4 linked regions of the Arabidopsis thaliana genome follow. The protein of the gene in region 1 interacts with the protein of each later gene in a pairwise test. Each region holds a gene or a part of one and is shown on either strand. Other genes may lie near its edges. The genes, in order: KLCR2, VAR3, RIP1 and AT5G66720.

Evidence for each region.
Region 2: the proteins of KLCR2 (region 1) and VAR3 interact in a two-hybrid assay, tested with the Arabidopsis thaliana proteins (one large-scale study listed by BioGRID).
Region 3: the proteins of KLCR2 (region 1) and RIP1 interact in a two-hybrid assay, tested with the Arabidopsis thaliana proteins (one large-scale study listed by BioGRID).
Region 4: the proteins of KLCR2 (region 1) and AT5G66720 interact in a two-hybrid assay, tested with the Arabidopsis thaliana proteins (one large-scale study listed by BioGRID).

What each region holds. Positions count from the first base shown.
Region 1 is NC_003074.8:10,379,706-10,384,936, forward strand, and holds KLCR2 (Tetratricopeptide repeat (TPR)-like superfamily protein), read right to left. Parts: upstream 3,545-5,231; 5' UTR 3,135-3,544; intron 2,954-3,134; exon of another isoform or gene 2,920-2,953; 5' UTR 2,889-2,919; coding exon 1,108-2,888; coding exon of another isoform or gene 1,104-1,107; exon of another isoform or gene 1,019-1,103; coding exon 808-1,018; 3' UTR 525-807; downstream 1-524. Other genes in the region: AT3G27950 (GDSL-like Lipase/Acylhydrolase superfamily protein), read left to right, coding at 1-66.
Region 2 is NC_003076.8:5,869,178-5,874,404, forward strand, and holds VAR3 (zinc finger (Ran-binding) family protein), read right to left. Parts: upstream 3,606-5,227; 5' UTR 3,495-3,605; coding exon 3,052-3,494; intron 2,971-3,051; coding exon 2,844-2,970; intron 2,726-2,843; coding exon 2,445-2,725; intron 2,158-2,444; coding exon 2,059-2,157; intron 1,960-2,058; coding exon 633-1,959; 3' UTR 519-632; downstream 1-518. UniProt on the Arabidopsis thaliana protein: Probable component of some protein complex required for chloroplast and palisade cell development. Involved in C-to-U editing of chloroplastic RNA. Controls a large number of chloroplastic editing sites.
Region 3 is NC_003074.8:5,048,283-5,052,998, reverse strand, and holds RIP1 (cobalt ion binding protein), read right to left. Parts: upstream 2,805-4,716; 5' UTR 2,679-2,804; coding exon 2,290-2,678; intron 2,119-2,289; coding exon 2,021-2,118; intron 1,937-2,020; coding exon 1,871-1,936; intron 1,513-1,870; coding exon 878-1,512; 3' UTR 544-877; downstream 1-543. Other genes in the region: AT3G15010 (RNA-binding (RRM/RBD/RNP motifs) family protein), read right to left, coding at 1-155; DJ1A (Class I glutamine amidotransferase-like superfamily protein), read right to left, coding at 3,378-3,575, 3,665-3,805, 3,921-4,121, 4,288-4,368, 4,460-4,645. UniProt on the Arabidopsis thaliana protein: Involved in organellar RNA editing. Required for the processing of numerous RNA editing sites in mitochondria and plastids. Binds to the plastid RARE1 factor, a pentatricopeptide repeat-containing protein involved in RNA editing.
Region 4 is NC_003076.8:26,638,270-26,642,838, forward strand, and holds AT5G66720 (Protein phosphatase 2C family protein), read right to left. Parts: upstream 2,644-4,569; 5' UTR 2,412-2,643; intron 2,277-2,411; coding exon 1,780-2,276; intron 1,711-1,779; coding exon 1,401-1,710; intron 1,309-1,400; coding exon 1,159-1,308; intron 1,034-1,158; coding exon 746-1,033; 3' UTR 521-745; downstream 1-520. Other genes in the region: AT5G66710 (Protein kinase superfamily protein), read left to right, coding at 1-295; IDD1 (C2H2-like zinc finger protein), read right to left, coding at 3,645-4,351.

The sequences.
Region 1 (5,231 bases):
CTCGATGGTTCGATATCGGATCCACCTCTCCCTACCCAAAAAGCATGTAAACTCACGAAAAAATAAGTTGCCATGATATAAACTAATAAATGTCTAGCATATTTCTGGTGCTTTCAAGTAACTAGCCAAAATTTCTATTCACATCTCTCTTTTTGTTTTTGAATCAATGTAAAATTTTCTTCAAAAAGTCATTGGTTACAATATATGCAGCTTTAAGCAGAATGTTTCTATTCACATCTTATCATATTAGTTATTATATAAAAGACTATATCAAATAATCAGTAACTTGTTTGGTAAGAAATTTTAAACCGCTTAGTTCAGATTATCTTTTGCTTAGTGACAACTTTTCTTTTGTTGCTTTGCTAAGTGACAACTTCTTGATTCGGTGGGTCGTCTCTTTATGTTCTCATGCTACATATGTATGTGTATATTCGGTTATTGTTTTTTGTTGACATTCATGAACATTACATGACAAGACCAGACAAGATGTTTTAGTAACCAAACACTTGTTGTTTACTCAAGATCAGTGCTCAAAGTTAGAGAAACTGCCATCAAGGAGATTTTTAAACTCCAAAATTTCAATGTAAATCACATTACAAAACGACCAAATCAATTGCGTTTTACTCTTTACATTTTATTTATAAAGAAAACAAATGCAAGATTTTTTTTTTTTTCCTTCACTTTTTATAAAACTAGAAAACATAAAGCCTCTTCATTTTTTTCCTTCTCCCTCGACCGTGTAAGTACCGTATTCGAACTTGTATTTTGTATATATATACATTTTAGACCGGACAATAATCCGGTTAATCAATAAACCGGTCTCTGTCCATTTGCAATTTCAGGGTTGTTGTCCAAAAGGGTAAGAAGTGCTCTGTTTCTTTTACTCCTTCCTCTTCCAGCTTCTTTCAACAACGCAGCAAGCCTCTGCTTCTCGTCCTCAACCTCGGGATTTGCCGTCCCGAGCTTCTCTTCTCTTGTCCCAACAACATACTCCAATATCTCTATAGCATCATCTAACCTGTAAAGCAAGTAACACATTGCTTGTACCGCAGGGAAATACCAAAAAACATAACCTAGCAAGAAAATTGTTTTAAGTTCCAAATTTACCTTCCCATTGCGTCGTACGTTCCAGCAAGGTTACTGTAAACCGCTAATGTATCGGGATGGTACGGTCCACACTCTTTCTCAAGAATAGTTTTCGCTTCTTCAAACAAATCTGCAGCTTCATTGATCGCGTAACGCTGAACGCAAGCTAGTCCCATCTGATTCAAAGCAATCCCGAAAAGAGCGGTTTTTTTCTCTCCGCTATTGCGGAACTTTGATATCGCGCTCTTGAATATGTCGTAGGACTCGGAGTAATTTCCCATCATATAAGTAACCACACCCATTTGAGCTTCAATACCTGCAATCGTGTTCTGTTGACCTGGAGCGTTTGCATATATCTTCAACGCCCGTCTCAACAACTTAAGAGCTTGATCAAGTTCATTCATTGACTGATATATCGCAGAAATCTCTATAAAACCAGTCGCAACCTCTTCCATAGGAGTTCCTGGAGTCGGTTTTAGGTAAATCTTGAGAGCGTTTTCGCAGTACGATTTGGAATCGCGTGTTTTCCCAATCTTGTTGTACAAGTCAGCAAGCCTAACGTAAACCAAAGCAACAGAGGAATGAGTCTCACCTTTTCCTTGCTTAAACACAGCTAAAGCCTTCTGGTATGCGAATATCGCTTCATCAAACCTAGCTAGCGACATGTAAGCATCACCAATACTGCAATCTACAGCAGCAACATCTTCTCTATGGTTCTGAGATGACATTGCCATGCTCGCTAAAACATAATGCTCAAGCGCAACTTCATAATCACCTTTCGCATCGCAGATAAGTCCCATCAGTTTTCTATCCGCAGCTTCTTCAATAGAAGCTGTAGCGGCAGCACCGTTTTCTTTGTGAATGTCCAATGCCATTTGACAAAGCCTTGAGGCTTCTTCAAACTGCATTGCTTGAACATGAGCTTCCGCTAAGTACCTACAAGTTTCGCCAACTCGTGCATCCGATTCTCCAAGAACTTGTCTTTGAATCTCCAAACCCGCGGTGTATAGCATAATCGAATTTTCAACTTGACCCATCAAACCATACATGTCACCAAGCTGCATACACCCTGCAAATTTCGCCAACGCGTGATCCTCACCATCTTCAATCATCGGTATCTCGATAGAACGTTCAAGAACAGGCACAGCGTCATTGTATCTCCCTAACCCTGCATATATCGCTGCCAAGATATGCAAAGACATCACCAAATTCAACCCAAGTTGTTTCTCTCCTTCCCCACATTTCTCAAACACTTTCACCGCTCTCAACGCTAAATCAAGAGCCTTGTTTAAATTCTCACCTGAAGAAACCAACTCTCTGGCTTGCTTCAACAACACCACACCAAGCTCAGGACTCTCCTCATCAACAGAAACCTTCCCCAAATCCGGTGATTTCCTCGAAGAGATCCTCGAACCCGGCATCTTCGGATTATTAGGACTCGTTTTCGCAACCTTCTTACCATTCGAAAGAGGTTTCTTCTGACTCAAGCTACCTTCTCCATTACTTTCTTCCTTCTTCTCCAAGATAATCTCTTTCTTGCTCTCTCCTTCTTCTCCTACATCTCCAACCAAATGCCTCAACTCCAAATCAATCCTAGATTCAGCTCCATACGAAATAAAACTCGCCCTGGACGGAGACTGATCATCAGAACTCTCCATTTCACAAACGTTATGATACAACTGCTCAATAGAAGCATTCATAGCTCCATCAATTGCAAGATCTATAGAACTCAGAGGACTCCTCGGTGAAGCTTGAAGGGCAGAATCGTCTTTTACCCTCTCATTGCTCTCTCCTACGTCCATGGCCTCCAAAACTCACAACTCAATTATAAATCTGAATCAATGGAGACCAAGATTTTAGATTCAAATCCGTTAAAACAACAAGATAACATCAAAAGACTCGAAATTGAGAACCATAAGTCCCTAACTAGAATTATCTAAAGCTGACATAGATTCAGTTACTAACAGAGAACAAAACCCAGAATCAAATTCAACGAAATTGAAAAGAAAAACGAAAACTTTGAAGATTTTAAGAGATAAAAATCGAACCTTTATGTGTCTTTGACTCTGAAGAAATCTGCAAGAAGGCAAAAAAAGAACAGATTCTGTTTTTTGGTAACTTAGTGTGGTTGTGTAAGAGATGAAAATGAAGGATTTGGTGTCTTGTACTTTTCACTTTTAGGTGTTTGTTTTATATCTTCACTTTCATAATCTCATAGCTAATGTTATGAGAAAGATGAAGCAACAACATTTATGCACAAACCCTTTCACTGTCCTTATATGTTTTGAAACAAAAGCAGACTTTTTTTTTTGGGTCTACATTGCTTACTTTAATTTACCTTTTAAATTGAATTATTGATTGATTATATTAAGATAATGAAGATGATAATTGACTCTTTTTGATGTGATTATATGATTATTTTTTCAAGAAAGAGATGCATAACCAGAAATTTTTTTGAAGATCATTAGGTTTGAAGATGATTGACTCTTGAAGCAATAAAAAGAAGATGACTTCTTCCCTACTTGCACTCTCTCTTTAAATAATTTATCTTTTTTCCTCAATTTTATAAATAAATTTATCTCTTTGAAAAATAATAATGAATGTCTCATCCATTTTTTTTATCATCTAAAATTTGATTAAAAATTTGCTGTGAAACCAAAGAAAATTACAAATTTTCAAAGAAGGAAAAGTAAAACCGACAGATAAAAAATAATTCCCCAAAAATTACAGCAGAAAAAAACGAGATTCTTTCTGGAAACTAAACACTATGAAATGAATGTTTCATCCATTTCAAGATTACCTTTTTTTTAATTAAAACTTTTAAAAAATATTGTTTCCTTCACATGCAATTTTTTCATGAATTTGTTTTTTTAAAGTTAAAGTTTGAGTTTTGCCCGTTAAGAATTAATTATTTTTCTTATTTATCCTAAAAGAAATATTGTTTCCTTGAAATGCAATTTTTTAGGGATTTAATGAGTTAAATTAGAACAAAAAAAAATTGAGTTTTGCAGGTTAATTAGCCAGCTAATTAAATGCTGGGGAAAGATCACAATTCACAAGTCTACGTCAAACCCTACAAATTCACAGCTGTATAATAAGTACCGTTGAGATTCCGCCACGTGTCATACTTAATCATCAATTATCTCTAATGATCATCCCATGATCTCTAATCTATATACGTAATATTAAAAACGTGAACAGTTAAAAATTTAGCCTTTTGATTGATATAATGATGCAGTGTTTTTTTTTTAGTATAGTCTTTAACTCTTTATGGAAAGAAAAATTGGACCACTGGATTTAAAGGATTGAATCACTAATTTAGTAAGAATTTTTCTTAATGACGAAATGATATGACACGTGGACTACAGCTGCATACCAGTTAGACAGCCTGGTTTTATGGTCCAGATGTGGTCCACCTTTAAGCCCATTACGGCTTTATGGGCCCTTATAGTCATCAGTGTAGGGCCTACCCAAAATGTAATTTTTATAGAACTCTCGTTCCCATATTTCATGAGTCAATTTTATTGTGAAAAAACGATAATGCGCTTAAGGCAATTTTTTCACTAGCCAACCAACAAAATATCGAAATGACTATTATTTTTATTTATTTTTTTTTTCTTGTCACAACGAAATGACTATTTATATATGTTTTTGTTAAGAGCCCATAACATTATATTATTTGGTTGGTCGGTCATATTATATATGCAAATTATGTATGACTTGGTTTCTTACAAGAGACAGAGACAACCCACACGTTTGTTCATAATTCTAAGACCTAACAACGTCTCTTCCTTCGGATTTTTATTTTTGTATATTGCATAAAGACAACTCTGTAACCACAAATACTTTATTATTTCCTATTCACAAAGTTATAAGCAATTCTTTTTTATCGTCAGTTCATAAGCAATTCATTGGATTAATTTATGAACTGAAAACAAATTGTAATCATTGACGACTGTTGGGCGGTGCTGTTTTCTTTAACTCTTTCGCCGCTCGAATCCCATATCAAATCTTATCTGTTCACAAATTATTTGGTTTTCTAAATTCCTACGCGTTTTATATTACCAACACGTTTTTGTTTTCTTCGAAAATTTTAGGTCAGAACGTATATAATTTTGACAAATTTGTCAAATACTATCTCTGAC
Region 2 (5,227 bases), on another chromosome or scaffold:
TAGGGGAGCCTGATTTACCCGCAGATATCATAAACGACGTCGTTCTAAATCTTGCCTCTCGTTCTAAATCTTGCCTCTAACGACGTGTTTTCGGTTTTGCTTATAACTCTCCTTTTGGAGCTTGCTGATATATCTTCAATCTTTAATATTTTGCATTACTTTCTCAATTCTTTACTGCCTCACCAAGTAACGATCTCTTTTCATTCACAACATGTTTCATCACTTTGTGTTACGTTTATATTCACAACATTCTGTCTGTATATATATTTGTGTTGTTTCTTTTAATCAAGGCGAGACCAAAGCTTATTCACATTATGGAACTTCAAATTCAACAGCGAAAGCAAGCTGTGAAGGACATTAAGATGTTTGTGTGCATTAACTTTATTATATTAATGGTATCAGTATCATCCATCCAAGATTCTTCAAAAGCTTGTTGTGGTAACGTTTGATGTATTATAGCAATGTTGATTTTGTTGTGTGCAGGAGGAGAGAAGAAACACAGCGACTTCTAAAGGATGCCGTCGGTAAAGATGGAGAATAAAGTTTCTACACATTGTGTATATAGAAGTTGAATTAAAGAAATACAAAAATCGTATGGTAATATTACTCCGAAAAAATGTTATGCTACATGGTCATTTATCTCCTTTACCAGTGGGATCAGAGTTGGTGATATGAGGATTTCTCTGGTGTCGTTGAGAAGTTAAACGCCGTTCCAAGGGAGTTTTCCTCTTGCTGACAACAAACCTATTCACTCCTTTCCTCATCGGCATTATCGACGGGAAATCTTCGTCTGGGATCTCACTCAGCTCTGATATGTTCTTAATCTCAGCCACTCTCTTAAACCATCTCTCTGCTTTTGCTTCCTCTGACATGTCCAACAAGTCTGACTCCTTCACTAACGAACCCTCCAAGCTCTTTCCATTTCTGATCTTCACTGCCACTGTATCAGATTTGTTGATTGAAGGTTCTCTTGGTTCTTGTTGTACTACCTGAGAAACGTTTTCTGTCGCCGGAGCTGGAAGAGTATCTATTGATTCCTTGGGTTGTTTCTCTTTGGCGAAGTAGTCAGGTGGGAAAGGGACAAAGGGGACAAAGTCTGAATCTTCTGGCCTCTTGTATGCTGGAGAAGTCAGTGAACGGTCTTTCTTCCTACTCACTACAAACCGATTCTCTCCTTTTCGCATAGGCATTTTCTCAGGAGAAATCTCTTGCGGTATTGCGCTTTCCAAGTCTGAAACATTGTGCAGTTCGGTGACCCGTTTGAACCACCTCGCAGGTTCCTCTGATTTGTGATCTTCCTTTTCAAGGCGATCTGTTTCTTTGCCAGAGTGATTTGCATCTGACTTGTCCTCTTGATAGACATTTTGATTGCCGCCTGAGAAACCATCCACTTGGATGTTGTCAATCAGACCTATCTGTGTTTCCTCCTTAGGTTTCTTGGCAAACATATCCGAAGGTAATGGCACGAAAGGAACAAAATCGGTGTTTATTCCCTGAGAAGATTCAAACCTTCTGGAAGATACATTCTTGTCATCAGAACGAGAAGTCAAAGAGGATGAAGAACCAAGAATCTCATTCAAGCTCCTAGTTGTTTTACTTCCCAAAGCATTATCGTCGCTCCTTTTCGAGTTTCCATCTGTAGCTACTCTGTTCTCAGTATTAGCCAACCTTCTCTCAAGAGGTGGCTTCCTCGTGCTAACAACATATCTATTCACTCCTTTCCTCAAAGGCATAATCTCTGGGAAATCTTCATCTGTATCAACACTGTTCGCATCAGAACCACCCTGTGCTACTTTACTAAGCCACCTCTGTGCTTTCTTTTCGTTTTCGACCAGTCTTCTCTCAAGTTCAGGGTCACTTGAATAATCAGAGTTGGCTGAATTGAGTGAAGAGTCCCTGGGTCGCTTGCAGTCACATCTTAAGCAAGCTACATTCCTCCCGTAATTATAGAAATCACATCTGATAAGTGAAACAACCAAGAAAGAAAGGAAAGGTTAACCTCATCATTCCTCATCGCATTAGTCATAAAGTAGCAGAGAGAAAAAATCAGTTTCTTACTGAGGACACTCCCATTCACTACCAGTAAGCTGTCTCTTTGGTCTTGCTTCATCACACTGGAAGCATTTGACATTTCTCGCAAAGTTCATGCCACTGCACCTGTTTCAACAAATTCCCACATCATATATATAGATTCCCTAAACGACAAGATGATGAAACAAAGACAATTACACCATACTGACTTCTTAGCTCTAAAAATAAGATCTTTCGACCACAATACTAGTGTAATAGTCAGAAGTATACTTGTTCAAGCTCAGATCCAGAAGATTTTTTTTTATGGTATCCTTATATCTAGGCCTACTTATATCTTTCCATAGAAGAATGGTAACCAAAAGGCCATAGGAGATTTACACCAAAAAGCTACTGAGAATCCAACAAATTCATACCTCGAGCAAATCCAGTCACCACGTTTCATCTCAACGTTATTCTGAAAAGACCTGACTCCTTGTCCATCTCTATCTGAGTACTGATTTTGCATCGTGTCATGAACATTCGACTCAGGAGGACGCAAGCTCATCTTCGCTATCTGACTCAAGAGGCTTCGAACCGATGACTCCATAATCTCTTTGTTATGTTGTTTGCTCTCCTCAGAAGAAGCAACATCCACAACATAACTCAAAATAAGCCTCATCAAATCAACTGTACTCGCCTTCTCCATATCCATCAACTAATGTAAAACACAAAAGATCATAACTTTGAGGCACAAATCACCATTGAACCAAGTTTAGACATAACCTAGCATTCACCAATAAAAGACTAAGCATTTGCCAGAAGATAGAACTTACCTTACCAATGCCCTGAAGACCACTTCTTAGGTAAAGGCTCATCCTTTTAAGTGAATCTGGACCTGTCTTGAATAAAAATGGCTTTCCATTCTCCACCAGCACTTCAACGTCTCTCCTCGAAAGCATTCTAATAAACACTAACATCATCAGATATTCAGATTGAGAATCAATCCAAAAAGAGAAAGAGAAAAAATTGCAGATTACTTACTCAAGCAGTTCTGGTCGTTCACGAGCTAGAGCTAAGCAAGCAAGAGCTGGACGGAGAAGTTCATCAGGAAAACCGGGAAAGAATTCACTTTCTAAACCAGAAATCGAACCGGAATCTGAGAAGTAACCAGCTTTGGAGAGAGATTGGAGTAGCTCTGTCCATTCAGGTAGCTGCTGGTTGTGATAAGAAGGAACAAAATCTGCGGCGGAGACACGGACTTGGTGATTGTAGAATCGTCCTATAGGAAACGTGGGGATAAGCGGCGGCAATGACACGAGTGGACGGAAAGAACATAGATTGGTTGAGGCAACGGACGAAGGAGGAAACGCACGGCGGTGGAAACGGCGGAGATTGGCTATGCGGCTGATGTAGAGACCACGGAGTAGAAAGAGAGGAGGAGGATGAGGAGAGAAGAGGGAGATGAGTCTGGTGGAGTTGTTCATCGTTGCTCGTCGTCACTGGTTTTATTTTTACCGGCGAGAATTATTTCAGTGATGTTTAAGGAAAAAAAAAGGATTAATAAATCGCAAAATAATTGCAAAATGAAGAAAAAAATAAGCCCATATTGGCTAACATAGGCCCATAATTCTGTGTGCTACTACTTGGGCTTGCCATTATGAATGTTTGGTAACTTTGGTAAATAATGTATTTCATTCAAATGGGATGTCTCTTAAAGAAAAAGTAAATGGTTTCGTACTAATAATGGAATTAACCCAAGTAACGAACTGATAGTAATCTAATCTAAGAGATGTTTTAAAGATAAGCGTAAGTTTTATGTTGAAATCTTCAGTTTATACAATATAAAAAGGAGTTTGCAGATTCGGTATTTATCAAATTGCACGTCGATTTGACATCAATTTTCGTGACTTGAAAAGTTGAAGTGTACATTGTACAATGTCATACGCATGCATACATTTCTTTTGACTTAAAGCCGCTATAACTTTAAAAGATTTATAGTCATACATTTCTCCGTTATTGAATTTTCACTTACTTAACAAACCTCGATTATAGTTATACTTCTACATATGTTCGTAATAAGTGATGTTTACTTGTTTAGAGATTTCAATTCACATACGTTATTTAATTTCTAACTTTTGTTTTTCTTAAATTAATAAGTTTATATGTTACAACTTACAACTTTCGAAAATAATAGATGATATAGACTATTTTTACATATACTATAGAAAAAAGCTATGTCAAGGATCTAAAATAGTTATATTTATTATGTATTAGTACTTCTTGGTTTCAGAACTTATACAATTACAATATATAATAAAACCTAAGAAATAAAAATTAACTAAAAAATAATACGTTATGAATATAGTTTTATATAAACGAAAGAAACGAAAATTAAAACATCAGTGGAACTAAAAAGGAGAGAATAATATTTGTGTTCTCTTGAACGTGGGAGTCACTGTGAGTTAAAGTTGGGTGTGGATTAGTTGCCGATCACTGCCGTCAACTTTTGACTAATGTTTATTCTGATTAACACTTTTACATACACTAAGCTATTTATAATGTAATAACTAATTTCTTTGTTTAGATCTATGTGGAGTAAAATATTGGTGAGTACGTAGACAATTAACTGCCTTGATAATGACTTCAATCTAAGTCCGTAAGGTATAACCTCATTAATTCCCCTAGAAATGTATTTTATCATAATTAATTACTATTTATACTTTGATGTGACATGTTTAGTTCTATGCCACAAGTGCAATGGACGGGCTAACAACTTTGACATGATTTGTAATTAAAATTCAATTTTAATAAAGAGACTTTATGTCATTACATCATGAGATAAAGCCCTAAATTCCTCAAATTAGTTAAAGTGTCTTCTTTAAAACTAATCAAGAAGTTTTAAAGAAACTTTTTCTATGTTAATGTAATTAGTGTGACTTATCTCATGAATCATGATTATCCGAACATTATTTTAGCGCTTGGAGTTTCGAAGTTACCTTTTCTCGCCACCTTTTGTTTTCTGGGTCTATTGAAAGATTGTCTCAAATTTTAAAAGGATAAGAAAAACACAATTCCATTAACTTTAATCGTACAAGTGAGAGTGTTAGAAATTGTGGTTAAACAATGATCAATAACCACTAACCATTTCGTAAAATTCACCGACGACTTTATCAAATGACGAACATGATCCGATGGATCCACGAACTACCGAAAGAGA
Region 3 (4,716 bases), 5.3 Mb from region 1:
TCTTGCAATAAGTCGAGCAGCTGATCAGTGGTGAATCGCTCGATAATCTTCCTCGCGTCTTGCGGCGACAATCGAGTTGGACCAATGGTTCCGCCACCGTTGGTATTGAGTCCGTTACCGTTCTCATCGAGCTTACGCTTCTTCATCATATCCATGGTTACAGATTTATCTCTGGAGTTATTCTTTCACCGGTAAATCCCTAATCCTTCTAGTCCAGCCGTAGAGAAAGCGAATCTGACACGAAAAAAAAGAGGGGAAAATATGTGACGGCGGAAAAACATATGAGGGAAGCGAGGGCTTTATACGGTTACGAGATTTTCCATTTTGGGCTGAAATTTAGAATGATGGGCCGGGATAAAGAACACAAAGCCCATCTTGTTACTTCACACCCGCTTCTCTCTCTCATCATCAAATTGTGTGTTCTGTCAAGTTTGTCGAAAGAAATATGATATTGATGACATTTGTCATTCTTCCTGTTATAATATGAGTATCCCATTCCCATGTAAACATGATTGGGGAATTAGAAATTAAGACTAGGAAGAAGCCAAAGAAAGACACAAAACAATAGCCTGTGGGAGACATGTTACTAAATCCCGTTTAATGCAGAACCAGGAGTGGACATAAGAGTAGCAAGCATCACAAGGAAGAACTTGAGATCGATTTAGGATATAAACTACTAAAAAGAAACGCAAGAGTGAAAAGTTCTAACCATGCCACAGTAACTTAGGCTATTCTCTCTCACATAATCCCAGACTGATAAACACTCGAGATAAAAGGAGTTTTAAAGTCTTGCTACTGCACTCTCTCTTCCTCAAATTATCTATACACAGCCCAGAATGCATGATTAAAAAGGAAACCCACGACTGCTTCAACTGCTTTAACCCTGGTAGGGGTTGCCACTGCCATCCCGGTTAGGTGGGTAGTTGTTCTGGTACTGTGGCTGCTGCATTCCACTACCCTGCTGCTGGTAGTTGTTGTTCTGTGGGGGTGCTCCTCCGTATTGAGGTGGTGGTACTGCTCCATATTGAGGTGGTGGTCCTCCTCCATAGTTTGGTGGTGGTGCTCCTCCCATGTTGTTTGCTGGTGGTGCTCCTCCATAGTTGGGAGGTGGTGTTCCTCCATAGTTCTGAGGTGGCCTCGGTCCTCCCATGTTGTTTTGCGGTGGTGCTCCATAAGGTGGTGGATGCCTTGGTCCTCCCATGTTGTTTGGTGGTGGTGGTCCATAGTTCTGCCCCATGTGAGGTGGAGGAGGTGCAGAGCCACCCATATGAGGCGGAGGAGGTGCAGAGCCACCGATGTGCGGAGGAGGAGGAGGGCCTCCCATGGGAGGACGTTGAGGAGGAGGGCCTCCTGCCATGTTCTCTCTTCTCCTCTCAAAGTTTCTGCTTCTATCATTGTTGCGAGGACGGTCATTGCGTCTGTTCCTTTCATTTGCTCTAGCATTGTTCCTTATCCACTCCTCGTGGTACTTAGGATCATAAGGAACAGCCTTCCCATCGATGAAAGGTTCCCCTGAAAGTCAATATATACAAAAACGCATCAAACTAACTCTCTAATAGGATCACCAGAAAGATTTAAACTCTCACCAAAGCAACATCACTGCGACTTCTACAACACCAGTCTCACAATAGATATCACTAAATCAAATCTAACAGATGCACCCACAATGTTAATTAACTATAAATAGAAGTCGCCCCATGTGTCAATCTAACACAAAAGCATGGAGCAAGTAACGAGTCCACAGAGCGAAGACTAGCAACAGGTAGTTTCCCTTGAAAATTTCAAACCCAGCAAAAGTATAATGGACGAGCAAAGCAACTACCCCAATTTCAAACCCAGGTTATGATACAGATAATACACTTAAGCCTACCTCCATAGTCTTTGTTCCTCACATCCAGGTAAGAGTCAGGAAGAACCCAGCGCACATTTGACAACTCTGGAGAGTTACAGAAGAAAGTTAGAAGGCAGATTATAACACAGAAATGAGGAAAACTAAAACCCAACAAAGGCAAGAGTTAACCTTTTAACTTGTGAGAAAGATCTTCTGACACAAGTGCCCCAAAAGCATAGTAGCACCTAGTTGAAACCGAGTAGATCTTCATCCTAGCTTCGTCTTCACTGAAATGTCCAAAACGAGATATATCATGTTACAGCTCCAAAAATGATCTAAGTAAACACACAGATCCGTCATACACAGTAGTGGATTTCTCACTTATTTAACCTAAAATCCCTAGAAGAACATACACAGAGAGAGAGAGAGAGAGAGAGAGTTTTGAATTGGGGATTTACCTGCCAACAATCTGAGCTAGGGTTTTGATGTAGCTATCAATGATTTCATCTCTAGTAGGCTCACCCTGAGGTGGCTCCACGACGACAAGCCAGTGCTCGAAATCGCAACCATCGAGCAGGATCGTCTCCTTAGGTGGCCTGTTCGACCAGTTGGGATTCGGGTCGTTCAGAGAAGACGATGTAGCCTGCGTCGAGAGACCTTTGACAGACACAAGGCCGCCACGGAAAACGGAGGAAAAAGCGGCGACCAGAGGACGGGACCGGCTGAGCAGAGAAGACGCCGGAGATTTGGCGAGAGGAGCAGATGAAGCAAAGGATCGCGTGAACAGAAACGAAAGAGATTTCGCCGGTCGGCAAAGAATGGATCGAGAAATGGTATGCGTCGCCATGGAAGCTCTAGATTGGGCTTCGCAGATAAAACCCTAGGAGAGAGTGTGAAAACAGATGAGCTAGAAATGAAATCAAGGGTTTTATGAGGGTTTAATAGTAGATTATGAGTCGAGGGCATTTTAGGTATTTCATAACTGAACTGGACAGCGAAATCTACGGTACTACCCCCTGATCTTATCAGATTCAACAAAATTGCCCCTATTTTACCTTAAGTTACAAATAAACACATTTTCGCCAAGAAATTAGTGACATTACTCTGTTTTCAAATGATAAAAAAGCTATTTTTATACAAGAAGAGAAGACTGAAGATTTTATTTTCACTAAATTGGTAATAATCATATTATTAAATGGTTTACAAATATGAAATATTCCAAAGCTAAACATAGGGGCAAATTCGTATTTTAGAGTTATTGTAAGGTCAATTTGGTGAAAATGTGTGACTAAAATATCTTTCTCCATAAAATAATTTTTTTCTCCAGCACACCCTCTAGCTCTTGCAGAGGTTTAAAGAAAATATCGGCAACATACATAGAAAAATCTCGTTTATTCATTTATAAAGGCATAAAGTTACACACCAATCACTAAGCCAAGCTCATATGTCATATATCATAAAGTAAGTAATTACTAATGGAGAGAGATAACTAAAAGGCAAAGCCTTCTTTTTATTCAAGCCACTCTCATACTTTCATTGTTTGAAATCACACAAGTGTTGCCTTTCCGAGCTGAAGAGCTTTCTCTCGCCCGTAAAACTTTTCGACAATGGCAAGTGAAAACTCCATTGCAGTCCCTGGAGCTCTGCTTGTTATGACATTTCCATCTACCACGACTCTGTGCTCAATGTGACTCTTGTCCGAAAGTTTGTCGCTCACCACTGGGTGAGTAGTAGCCTTCTTACCCTATACAAAACATGTCTCTTATATCTCAGTTTAATGACTTAAAAGATAGAACAAGAAACTACAATTCTAGTACTGTTTGATTTATGCACCTTGAGTAAACCATTAGGCTCGAAGACGTAAGCAGGCGATGCGCAGATTCCTCCATATGGTTTGTTTGCTTCTGCCTGTTTCCTTAACATATTAACTAGCTTCTCGCAGCTTGCGAATCTTTGAGCACCGTTAAGACCGCCCTGTAGTTCATCAAAGAAGTTGGATTATGTTTTTGGTTATTTGTCATCATAGAATATTAAAATTTAATTTAAGACTAAATAGTATATTCACATTTTGGAAGTTAGCAATACTCACAGGTAACACAATCAGATCAAACGACTTCTCTGCAACCTCATCAAGAAGAACTTCTGCTACTAGCTTAGCTTTGCGAGATCCTTCAACTTCCAAACTGTTACCAACTGCAGCAATCACTACATTTGCTTTTGCCCGCCTCAGGATATCTACAAGCGCTATAGCTTCAATTTCCTCTGACTCCTCTGCAATGGGTACGAGAATCTGAAAAGGGAAAACATTATCTCTCTGACTCATAAAAGACTATTGATCAAGAAAGACAAAAGCTTTACAACACAGCATGTTCCTAGGAATCTGTATAACGGATCAAACAAAGCCTGTCTTGGAAAAATGTTAAAAGGGCCAAGTGGAGAGGCAACTGAACATTTACCTGTGGTGTATCTTCAAATGACCAGTTTGTTTGGTTAAGCTCAGTAAAAGTAAACTCCTCACCAGGGTTAGGACGAAGCAGCTGATTTCAAAAGGATAACAAGTAAGTCTACGAGGAGGTGACATGAACACGTACCACAGCGGTTGATAAAAGAGGCAGAGACAAAACATACCAAGATACTGGAGACTTCATCAGCTTTTTCTTTCCCAAACAACTGCTCTATAAGCGTGATGGAGAATTCAATGGTGGTTCCTGGTCCACGACTGGTCACTATTCTTCCATCAATTTGCACTCTTGACTCAACAGCAGTTGCACAAGTAGCCGCAAGTTTCTCCATAAAAACAGGGTAACCCGTTGCCTGCAAGAAACCCCATGTAATAACAAGACATTACAAGGCCTGAAAAAAAGATAAATAAACGCCCTTGGAAA
Region 4 (4,569 bases), on another chromosome or scaffold:
CCTGCAATCATGCTGGGCAGAGAATCCTGACGCTCGTCCTGAGTTTAAAGAAATTACATATTCACTAACAAACTTGCTCAGAAGCTTAAGCTCAGACACTGATGCTACTTCATCCAATAGCAAAGCCAATATAGCTACCGAGGATTCAACAAGCAGTCTGGTTCAAGAACGTGTTGTCTGTGATTGTCCCGGACTAAAGATGAGCAAGACGAAGAAGCTGAAGAAGAAGACGAATAAACTGATGAATATGATCGTCCCTTTTCTCAAGATCTTCAAAAGTTGTATGTCCAAGTGATGGAAGTAGAAACTCTCTGGTAAAAGATAAAAGGTATAGCAATACGAACTCGACAGAGTAAAACGAAAGAAAAAATGGTTAGGCTTTGTGCTTTGTTCTTTTTTGTTTGGTATTTCAACAATTTATGTTGAAAAATAGTATGCCAAACTAATTAGTGTACGGAATCGAAGAATATGTGGTATAAATAATAGAATCATCATATAATTTACTCTATGAACCATGATTATTCTATCGTGTTTTTTCACCTAAGTAAACACAATTAGATTCACGTTTCATAACTTAGCTAAACTATATTTTGATTCCGTGAAAAATACACATTTAATGACCTCCTGAGGACTTTTAATACCGTAACAAGTTTTTCAAAAAAACACAACAAAAAATAAAAGAAAAGGTATCGTCAGATTTTGGCGGGATTGGACCGTTTAAACAGAAGATCATCAATTTGGTCTCTTAAGATGAGGTGACGTAAGAAACGACGGCAGTGATGTCATCAAGCTTTCCTCCGTAATACCTGTAGCCAGCCTCCTGAGCCGCAGTTGCGAAAGGGCTCTGCCGTTTTTTGTCGACTGCTCTTTGACGTGCCAACTCTGCAATCTTCTGAGCTGTGCCTTTCGGGTCTAAACCGGCCCTCACCGAGCTAACCACCACTCCTGTGATCTCTTCATTGTATAAATTATCATACACTCCATCTGTTCCAGCGACAATGACATCTCCAGACTGAACATCAATTGTGAATACCTGATTCATATAACCACACCAGCGTGTTCAATTCAATCCGTATAACCCGAACCACAACTGAAAAGTGTATTCAAAATGGTCTTATTAAGCTTTGATAATAGGAAGAATACGCCTTTGAAACTGACCTGACCGGAGCTAGGGACGTCGGCACTGTTCCCACTCTCTAATTGATAAGTGAAGTTGAATCCATGCTGCTGAACCGGAGACTGAAACACCGTGGTTCCCTCTCTAACCACCGTGAATCCACTGTCTCCGAGATTAATGGCGTGTAATCCCTTGCACAAGGAGAACAAACACTCTTCAACAGACGGTTCTAAGAAATACAGTTGTTGTTCATTCACAAACAAAACTCTGTGAGCTAACTAACCTTATCTTTTAAAACGATGATACAAGCCGTGGAGGAGCCTTTGGCTTTGGTTTGAGAATGTGCTTTCTCTAACACCACTAAAGGGTCGATAGAAGAACCTTTATGCTGTTCTTGAATTGCAGATACTGAATAAGACATAAGCTCACGCGAAAACAGTCCCGCATTAACACCAACCTCAGCCCAACCGCCAACTCCATCTGCAACTCCAATAGCTTGTTCTTCATCGCAGATAAAGTGAGCGTCTTCTCCACCTGTAGCTTCCTTTTCAGGATGCGGGAGATAACATGACCCCGACACTAGCCTAAGACTCCTACTCAAAATATCAAAACATTGAAACCAATTGGTAACAAAAAGATTAAGAAAGTGTAAAAGAACTTACTTAAGAGATGTAGTAGTAGTTGGTGGTGACTCTTGAGAACCACCGTTAAGAGAAGACAGCTCATGAGCCGGTCCAACCGAGAAACAAGCCATAGGAGAAGTATGAACACTCTTAGACAATGTCCCAAAGAGTGCACGACTCTTTTCTAGCGGATCAACAACAGAATAGTGACAAACCAATCGGTTCTTCATCATTCCCCCTCTCTTCCCAAGTCTCATGCTAGCTACAGGACAATTAATAGTGAAGCTACCACCACTAGAACGCTTCTTAGTGAAGTCTAAGCCATTTGAACAAGTAGTAACCAAATCATCCAAACAAGCGTCTCCAAACACTGGCAAAGAACCAGAAGCAGCCATGGCTTGACGAAACCGAGAACTATCAGAAAACAATCTCCTTTGACCCGAATTGGAGAAGAAGCTCTTACTTTTCCCAGCAACGATTCTTTGAAACCCAAATTGAGAAACTGGGTTTAATCTCGAGAGAGCAGTCGCTGACATCTGAATCAATAATAATCAATAAAAGGAAAGATTTTTACCAAAACTGAACAAAGCTACACCAAAATCAACAGACTATAAAACGAGCCCTTAATCATTACCCACTTCAAATACTTGAGATAAGAGATAAACTATTACCGGATTCTTCACTAGTCAGGGCTTTTTCCGTCTTCTTCTTCGCCGGAATTAGGTTAGAGAAGAGAGGAAGGAATATATAAAGATCTCTTGTTTCCGCTACCTACCTGCAGCTGCGAGCTCCTCCGTAAAACTCATTAGCCGATGAGGGCAAAATCGGAAACTTAACTTGTTTCTTCGTGTTCAGTTTTCGATGTCTGAAATTTCTCAGCGAAATTAAAAAATACTAAGAGATAATAATTTAATGGTCTTGGACTTGACATTTAAGGCCCAATAGTATTAAGCTTGTGGACTTGAGTAGTCTTCAGCATAATGACTAATGAGCTTAAAATATCAATGGCCTATTAAGAAAGAAACATTTCACAATCAACCCCAATAGGCTTCTCTCTTCTTGCTTACTGTACACAACCAATTTTATTTTCTTAATATTGAAAACTACACGATCATTGCTCGAGTCCAAGCATATCAATATTGATCAAATGATAAAGTCACACTAATCATAGTTACTGATTTCTGTTAAACTTCCGATTTTGTAATACAGTAAATATGATGTGGGTAAATAAATTATCTTGCTCTCCAAAATAAAATACAAAATAGTGCCTTTGTGGGTTGAATTGTCATGATAATTCTATCACTATAATGGACCTACGTAGCGATTGAAACATCAAAATCCAAAATCTTTGGTCGATTCTCCAATCAAATCACACTGGTCAAGTCTCAAATTATCTGGCCAAATTGAGACTATTTTTAGTTCTGCAAGTTTTTAGACAAATATCACCACCTTCCAAAAAATTTATCACTTTTGGGAGAAGTCAATTCAATCTCATCTACGAATTGTTCCCATTAATGCAAAAATTCGATTCAGCGTTTTAAGACAGCAAGCAACACCCAATAATAGAAACTTCAAACCCCATTGATTGTTTTCACATGGTAGAGACTTCCATCAGAACTAGACCAAGATTTGTAACCATCTGTAATAATTTAGCTGTCATGTCACAACCCGAGTTCAAATTATCTCTCAAAGTACAACATGTGAGTTATAATAAACCACACACCAAAAAAAAAACAATATATTTTGTTGTTGTTGCTAGGAGATTTATGTACTTGAGAGAAAACCCACTTGGGAATAAAACTAAAGCTTTCACTAAAACAAGATACCAAAACATCTAAAACCTGAAACAAACTTGATGAACTATATACTACACTGGTCTACTACGTTCATGCCTTTTGTCTCTCTTACGAACTTCTTCCAATGTCTTTGCCTGAAAACTCCCCTGATCCAAACAGATCGATTCCACCTCCACCACCTATAGAAGTTAACAGAGCAGACAATCCACCTCCGGTATTACCACCATTACCAACAGCTCTTCCTAATCCAAGAAAGTCTAGTGTCGTCTGTTTCGGACCAAACACCGATGAATTCCCCATCATGAGCTCTTTTAGACCCGATCCGCTACCACCGCTGCTACAAGGTAGTCCAAGTCCAAGACCAGGAGCTAATGACAATGCATCATGATTGCTGAGTTCCATAGATGAAGAAGTAGTTGAAACTATGCCTAACCCGCGAAGCAACGAACCTCCTGATCCCGTGGAACCCATTTGTGCAGCTTTTTGGAGCAATGCAGTAGCTGACATTGCCGGTTGAGGAGGGAGAGGAGTTAGGAAATGTGGCGGATCTCGTATTGTTGGTCCGAACAAAGAAGGGTTCGTCGAGAGACAGAGAGAGATGGGTTCCATGGAGGACGATGGTGCGAATAGACTTGGAGAAGCGGTTGAGGAAGCATATAAACTAGGCGAAGCTGTTGATGATACAAACAAACCTGCGTATCCACCATTGTTGTTACTGTGATCATTGCTTAGATCCGATGAGCTAACATTGAACCCGATCGTTCTTGAAGCTTCCTCAATAATGACTTCAGGATGATTGTTGTTTTCTTGAGATTCTACAAACAAAAAGAGATGATGAGTCATGGACATAAACTTTGAGGCTTTAATTATAATTAATGGATACATTATAGGCTTAGCTATGGAAGACGACGAACACGATTCAGTTTTTTAGCAGACATCAGAAATATAACGGCGCTACAGACAAAACCAACTAAACTCCAAGTTCACCGACCAGTTTACAGTTGGATTATTTTAAAGAGTTCTTGTTTCGGTT